Linked DNA regions of Coturnix japonica. The protein of the gene in region 1 interacts with the protein of each later gene in a pairwise test. Links are inferred from orthologs where the notes say so. Each region holds a gene or a part of one and is shown in the gene's direction. Other genes may lie near its edges.

What was found. The genes of interacting proteins can lie anywhere in the genome.
Region 2: the proteins of RALGDS (region 1) and KRAS interact in a two-hybrid assay, tested with the Homo sapiens proteins (3 studies listed by BioGRID and IntAct). The link is inferred for Coturnix japonica from reciprocal best matches to the Homo sapiens genes RALGDS and KRAS.

Annotation. Positions count from the first base shown.
Region 1 is NC_029532.1:5,350,435-5,354,709, reverse strand, and holds the start of RALGDS (ral guanine nucleotide dissociation stimulator), read left to right. Parts: upstream 1-1,357; 5' UTR 1,358-1,539; coding exon 1,540-1,707; intron 1,708-4,275. UniProt on the Homo sapiens protein: Functions as a guanine nucleotide exchange factor (GEF) activating either RalA or RalB GTPases and plays an important role in intracellular transport. Interacts and acts as an effector molecule for R-Ras, H-Ras, K-Ras, and Rap.
Region 2 is NC_029516.1:61,748,518-61,752,164, reverse strand, and holds part of KRAS (GTPase KRas), read left to right. Parts: intron 1-773; coding exon 774-884; 3' UTR 885-3,647. UniProt on the Homo sapiens protein: Ras proteins bind GDP/GTP and possess intrinsic GTPase activity. Plays an important role in the regulation of cell proliferation.

The DNA of each region.
Region 1 (4,275 bases):
TCCCATAGAGGTCAGGCAAAGCTGTGATGTTCTGCAAGGGTTTGTATCTGCAGACAAGCAGTGCTGCTGTCTGTTCTGTGCACCCAGTGTTGATCCATCCCAGCTGTGAGGCCACAATTTCACCTCCCCAAGGGCTGAATCCTGGCTTCTCTCCCCACCACCCTTCAGCCCTGAGGGCAGCACTGATTGCTCTGGAGGTGCCTGACCTCTGCATGCACCGAGCTCTGTATGCGACCCATTGCACTGCAGAGCACATCTTGCTGCATCACGCAATGCTGCATGGCATGCAGGGTCAGGATTGGCATCACCCCATAGATCATCCCAAAGGTGTGGGGCTGCGTGCAGCCCTTGTGCAGGGCTTCATTTCCTTTCCCATACTGTAGCCCTGGAGGTCCCGTTGACCCTCTGCAGCTCCAGATAAGCAGGACAATAACTCTCATTGTCCTCCCTCATCCTCCTGCCTGATACATTTTCAAGTTGAAGAGTATTTCAGCTTTGTTAATCCTTTCTTGCCCGGGCAGGAGGTGCCCTGGGCAGAGCTGGATGTGCAGCCCCTGTATTTATGCTCTCATTGGAAATAAAGCCGCGGGGCTGCACGGCTGGGAGGCTGCTGTTATTTCAGCTGTGCTGGGAGCTGAGGCGTAAGCGTCTGGGTTTTGGTGGTGTCAGCAGCAGCTGCCATGCATTAATCGGCAGGGAAGGAGAAGGGGCAGGGAAGGGTGAGAGGATGCTGAGCTCAGTGCGTGCAGAAAGTGTGGAACGGCTCTGTTTGTTTCTCTGTGCCTCTGAGAACAGTTACATTGTGATGTTTCGGCATCAGCCTGAGAACTCAGAGACGCTTTAGAGTGGGATCGGCAGCCCTGCTGCCCCCCAGCCCAGTTCCCCTTTCCGTGCATCCCTGCAGGGCCACACATCGCTGCTGTGTACCCTACTGTCCCCCATGGTACAGGAAGGGGCCCAGGGGTCCGTGACTGCAGCCCCCCATAAATGTTCTGGGGCTGGGCGGTGCTTTGAGCACAGATGGCACCGTGGGGGCTGAGCTTGTAGGATGGGAAGCAGCCTGGCTGCATCACTGGGTTAATACTTAGCGGTGGGTTCGAGGTGGTGCTCTCTGAACCCCAGATCTGATGTTAGAAGCTACGTGAACACTAGGCGATACCAAGACCCTCCTCCAGGGCCAGCGTCCCAGCCTGCACGGCTTCTCCCATTGCCGCCCACCTCCATCCCCTTCCTCTCCGCTCCGCTCTGCCCCATCCCGCACTCCCCCGCAGCTCCCGGCTGAAGCTCTGCCCCCTCCGCCCTCGCCTTCCCTCCGGGGGCCGAGCCGGGCCGGTCCAACCCCCGGGGCGGGCGGAGGCTGCGGGGGAGGAAATCCAAGCTCCGCTTTCTCAGCCCGGCCCCTCCGTGCCGTCGGGTCGCTCCGCCGCTGTTCCCTTCGGCAGCCGCTCTCCCATCCCGGGGGCGGTGGCGGTGCGGGTCCCCGGTTATCCCGGGATCCCGGTCCCCCCGGGCCGACCCGGGGATGCGGTGGCGGTGCCCATGGTGAGCCGCCGGCACCATGCCGCCCCGCCCGCCCCCGACATGTTCGAGGGCTGCCGGCGGGCGCGGAGCTTGTGGGGCGGCGTGAGGCTGGAGGTGGCCGGGGAAAGCAGCCCCGTAGTGCTACACAGCTTCACCCAGCTCGACCCCGACCTGCCGCCGCTTGAGGTGAGGATGGGGGATATGGGGGGCTGGGGTCTTGCTGTGATGAGTCGGGGCTCAGCTCGGTGCAGGAGGATCGCGGTGCAGCTCCCGGAGTTAAGTACGGGGACAGCTGTGGGACAACGCGGCGTTGTTTCGTTTCGTTTATTAAATAAGCGAGTGGCCCTGCTTGGTGTTTTTGCTCTGAGCGGTGGGCAGGATGCCAGACCGGGCTCTGCAAAGGGCTGCCCTTCCTTTAAACAACGGGAGAAGGGGATAAACCTCAAAACAAGGTTTTTTTGGGTCTTATTCTTGTTAATATCTCAGCTGCTGCAGGCAGGGAACTGCTCTGATCTGTCCTTAAGGACTTTGGGTTCGTCCAAACCACAGAAGTATCCTCTGGGAAGGTTATGGCTATCAGGAAGGCTGTGCTGGAGGATGCAAAATGTTGGTGTTGCTTTGGGTTCGACCCCGGGCTGCTGAGCCCGAGCAGTTTGTTGCATGGAGGTGGAAGCTGAGACACCCAAAATAACGTGAGTCAGAGCTCTGGCTTTTTTCTTCGGAATGGGTGATCATCTTCTGCGTGCCAGGAATGTCATTGATTTGGAACGAGCGATGCTGGGAGGCAGGTTCGGGCATTCCCAGCATCACGGAGCCCTGCAGGCTGGAGGCACAGGGGTTAATATCGGCAGGGTCAGGGGCTGGGCTGGGTGCAGAGCCAGCTGCAGATGTGCTTCGTGGCTCTGGATGCTACTGAGGGGGGTGGGGGGGAATAGGGTGCGCCCTGCAGAACTACTGAGTTCTGTGCAGATATCCAGCATGGCGATCCCATTCCTACCCCATTAACCCACAGTGGAAATTCCTGGTCAGGATGTATGGGAAGGGATCAGTGCTGGCTCCAGCCCTATCGCTTCACCTCTGGCCCTGGCAGCAGGGATTTGTCAGCTCATGGAAACCCTCTCCAGCTTGCTCTTCCTCCCCCTCCTCTTCTCCCCCTGCTTCTCTCTCCTGGGGGTGGGTGTGCTGACATTGTTCGCAGCACATCATCTGGTTCATGTTATGTCTGGCAGGAAGTCCAGCCCCTGCGGCCCGCTGCGCTCCGGGAGGCTGCACGGGGCTGCACTGTTGGAAGGGATGCAGGAGGAGCAGGGAGGGGGGCAGAATGGGGGCTCCTGTGCTTCTCCCCCTGGGGTCAACCACCCCATGCACCCCACAGGAGGCAGAATGGGGCTGCAAAACTGCTGAGAGCAAAGTTATGGCCCTAACTGGTGTTGGGTTGGCCTCTGGGAGTGTGCCCAGATCATGGAATCATTGAGGTTGGAAAAGACCTCTAAGATCATTAAGCCCAACCATCAAGCCATCCCCTCCATGCCCATGTCTTGGAGATGTCTGCTCTGGGCTGTGATGTGGCGGTGTGAGGGCAGAGCAGCCCCAAAAAGCACATTCTAGAGTGGGATATAGCACTCACGTGCAGCAGGATTTGCTTGCTGTCATTGCAGCACGCAGTTGGGGAAAGGCATGCTGAAAGGGGATGAAAAATAAGTCGAGTTGTTGTGGCAACTGTGCTGGCAGCAGCCTGGCTTATAAGCCTCGAGTGAGGTTACTCTGCAAGATGGATTTGGGGAGTAGAAGGTGGATTATTCAGTTCCTCCCCCTCCTGTATTGCTTGGAGGTCCAAGGGCTCTTGAACTGGTTTTAACTGTGGGGAATGGCAGGTTTAAACCAATTGGGTTTTTTTGCATGCCTTTTGCTTGGACCTTCCTGCTTCCAGTCCAGCCCAAATCAGCACTGTGAGTTTGGGGGTCCTCCTGCTCCATGCTGCACACACAGCTGCAGATGGATGGCCCAGACTGGGGCTGGCACTGCCCAACCTCCCTGCGAGCAGTGAGGGCTGATGCCTATTGAAAACTCTTGGATTGTTTCTATTTTGGCTCTGTTTGTTTTCCGAACAATTAGGAGAATTCTCAGTTGCTAAACACGTCCTCGAAAACTTGAATTGCTCAGCCCAGATGCTTGGGAGGTCAGTGCTGGTGCTTTACAGCTGGGAAGGAGGGGCAAAGATCTCACTTAAAAGCCATTTTCTTTCCACTTCCAATGGAAGAGGATCCTTTTCTCTCGCAGCCTGTTCTCCCCGAGGCACCATCTGATATGCCCTGTGCAATCTGCAGGATGGACATCATCTGTCCCTGCTTCTGGAGAGGGACCTGCTTATGGCTCCCAGCCAGAAGGGTTGGGTAAGCAGGGAGCTGGCTGGGATGTGAGTGCAGGAAGGGAGCGAGGAGGTGGGAGGGGTTTCTGATGATTGTTTGATATCGTTAAGAGGAGCTGGAAAGAGCTTCACCATGTGTTTGGATAAGGCTTGCATTGCATGCCCTGTTTCCATAGGGCAGGAAACCCTCCGGGACTGGGACCTCACTGAGGTTTTAGCAGGTTTGTAATCACAGATTAGCAGCCCTGGAAACTGGAATCTTGTTCAGCCCTCCCGGCCCCACAGGCTCCACTTGTGCTGCTCCAGGGCCCCACAATCCTTCTCTGGCTCTGCTATGGCCATTTGTTTTCTGGCTACGGGCAAGGGGTTCCTAAGCAGGGCAACTA
Region 2 (3,647 bases), on another chromosome or scaffold:
TTATAGACTACAGACAGTGTGTTCCATGTGTCATTGCATAAGTTGAATGGAATGATTTATCACATGTTAACTGATCATTGCAACACGATTGATCTGAATGATTTGTTTATGTAGAGTTTTAAAGAAACCTGTGGTGTGATTATTGTGTTAGCATGCCTGACAACGGACCTGAATAAGTAGATGAGTCATATCTGTCTCTTTGGTACCGATTTCCTGCTGTCCTGTTTGTATTTTAAAGCTATGTCTAGATTTAAGCGTAAGCAAAGCTAACAATTGCCTCAGAGCTTTACTCTGAAATCCAGCGGTAGTACTATATACATCCTTATAACCTAAACGTGGCTCATTCAGGTGGCTGATCCTCAGCCTGCAGCCAGGAGGAACTGCTCACACAATGGCCACCTAGAGCTGCTCTCCTACAGGGCTGTGCACAGCGATGCCATCAGATGTGTATTTCTCATGCAGCAGGAGACAGCTGCAGTCCCCCCACCATCTCAGTGTTCTCCAACATGCCCATTCCCAAAGTCCAGGAATGCTCAAGAGGGTGTGTTGGTGTCCTGGCAACTCCTACAACCCACAGCCTGCTCTTGGGGTGTTGTAGAGGCCTCAGTGAGGAGAGCGTGGTGTCAGCTCTCCTGACACGGCCTCCTGATACGGAGCAGGCTGCTGATTGAAAACACTTCACCTGGTCAGCTCAGGTGAAATGAGGCTGTATATAAGCAGGCAGCCGAGTCTGTTAAAGCCATTGTAACATGTGCATCTGTGTGTCTTTTTAGGGTGTTGATGATGCCTTCTATACATTAGTTCGAGAAATCAGAAAACACAAAGAGAAGATGAGCAAAGATGGTAAAAAGAAGAAAAAGAAGACAAAGTGTATAATTATGTAAATACAATGTATCCTTATTCTTAAGACGTACTGAAGTAATTTTTGTACATTACACTAAATTATTAGCATTTGTTTTTAGCATTACTTTACTTTCTGCTTCATGATCCTGTTAGCTTTACCTGAACGCTTGTTTTTAATGACAGTGGAAACTTCATTCCTCTTAAAGTGCCAGTATTCTTTGAGTGTTGGTTCTTGAACTAGCAATGCCTGTGAAGAGAAAGAAAAACAAAGGAGAAACAAAAACCCCACACAAAAACCCGAGAGCTGTCTTAGGACTCTTTGGTGCATGCACAGTCGCTAACTTCCTATTTTGCTTATTGATGGTGAACTTTTGTTCCGTGTGTACACAAAAGACTGAAACGATGCTCCACACGTTCTGACATCCCCCTGAATTTTTCCTATTCTTTTATTGTCTAAATCTGGTTGGGAAAACAGACCCGTTAGCGAAGAATATTTTATTTTCAGAGTTCCTTTTCCTTTAGACTGACTGCAATATAGAGAGACCAGAAGCCTTTATAGTCTTCCTGTAGTTTTCGCTCCTAGGCATCTAGTCTTGTAGCATTTCAGATCAACTTTATTGAATGTAAAGAGAAAACTTTCACACACAGAAAAAAGTTTCACTGCAATTTGTCTCAGTCACTCCTTAAATACTCTATTTTTTCTATTAAAAAGAAAAATTATATTAAAAAAAAAAAAAAAGACACTAATGCACATCTGGCAATGGAAAAAGTCAAAGTTGTGATTAGATCGATTTCCTGCTGTTAATGCATTGCTTTAAAACTTTCACTTAACTTTGTCTGTCTGAAGATGCCCAGGTGAAATCTGAGCTCTCCTGAGCCCCCAGTGGTAAATGTTCAGGTAGCTTTGTTCAGTAGGACAGGATTTCACCCTTAGCGTCTCCGGGATATACTAGAAAGCCTTAATAGATAAGCTGATTCAAATTCTTAGGTTACTTCATCCATGGATCCACAAGTTATCCTGAGGATTAGGTCTGGCTGAATCCTAAATTATACATCAAATTAATACCATTTGCTTTGTGTGTTTGTTTGTTTGTTTTATTCCCCCTCAAGGGTGGCCTGAAATGTTTCCATGCGCCCATTTCATGTAAAAATAGGAGCAGAATTTTAAATTCTAGTAACCTCAAATCAGTGAATGAATGAGCTCAATGAACGTAGCTGCTTCATGCAAGTGATTTGGAAATCCACCGTGCCATGCAAACGGTGTGGAATTTGCACTAATCATCAGCATAGAACATGGTTTCCAGATTCAGTGTTGTTTGTGCCATGTCTGTGAAGTGCTGGTTTTGTTGCACAGATGAACTGGTTAGTGAGTGGCATTCCAGTGTCCAGACCATCATGAAACTAGACTGAGACTTCAGTGTTGTCTTTCTCCGTGATCAAGTCTCTTGTGATTCTTCTTTTTTTCCTTCTTTTTTTTCCCCCTTCTGATCAGAATTAATGCAGAATTTTTTCAGGACCTTTCATTTCTGGTACTGAAGTAGTCTGGCTATTCTGCACCATAGTAAGAGCCAGCATTTCCAGTGCTGCCAGTTCCTGTTGTCTTCCTGCAAAGGTTGCAACACTTAGTTGCCTCCGTCCCATAAGGCGCAGTGGTACCCAATCAGCTGCAGAACAGGATTTGAAAACGTGACTTCCCATGTACCAAAAGTAGAACAGAAGTCGCTAAAGGAGGATAGCATGGGACAGCGGACTGGTAGGTGGTGCAAGTCTGAAACAGGGAATAGCAGCATCGCTCCAACTTAAGCTATAACTAAACCATTACGTGGAAAACGTACACGGTATCATTTGAAATAACATATATACATTTTTAAAGTCCTAAAACATTTTACAGCTTCCTGGGCTAAAATCATTTTGGAGGCGGTTATTTGCACATTGTAGAGGCTCTTGATTATATATGAAGAAGGTAGCAAAGCTGGACAGTTTGGCCTGAGCCAACAACAGCAATCTTAAGGTGACTAAAGGTTGTCTCACTGCATGTAAAGTTAGAGATGGTCTAAAGTTCTCCCGTTAATTTAACTAAAACCTGTTAGGGGAAATAAATGTAGCAGAAATACCTTAATAATCCAGCTCTGCTCTATCAGTAGAGCCGTACTAGGTGTAGCTCCACTATCAAGATGTATCTAAAATAGGTTTTTTCAGTAAGCGTGATCTGTAGCTACCGGTTGAATGAGGTTATTACAGAATTGCCCTGTAACGGCCCGTATTGACTTAAAGGAAAGAAAGAAAAGAAAGAAGAAAAATACTCATCCTTGCCACTGTTGTGCAGTTTTGTCTTAATATTTGTAGAGATTTGGTGAAGCATGTTGGATTGCAGCTTGCACAAGCTGATCTCAATTCCTCTGTCTTTCCCTGTTTGAAATGCTTTCCAAGGACATACCTGGACGCTATCTTTTCTGGCAGTAACTGCTAAATGAACATGTGAATCACTTCCTGCGTTAATACATTACATTGCCATATGTCAGGGAGCAGCACCTTCTTACGGTAGCTTTATGTAACCCTGGTAAACAGCATTATTACTGGTTTTCTCAGAACCGAACACTATTGTGACCGGTCCCATTGCTCTAACATAGGGAAAAAAAGAAGCTACACCGCATAGGATGCCTGCAATAGGTAAATACAGACACAATCTTCTACGTTCTGTGAAGCAATACAATGACCTTCCAAGACCATCCAACTGTACGCCAATCACTTTGCCTGAAGTTTACATAAAGCTACATAGATGGTAAACCTTTCCTAACATTTCT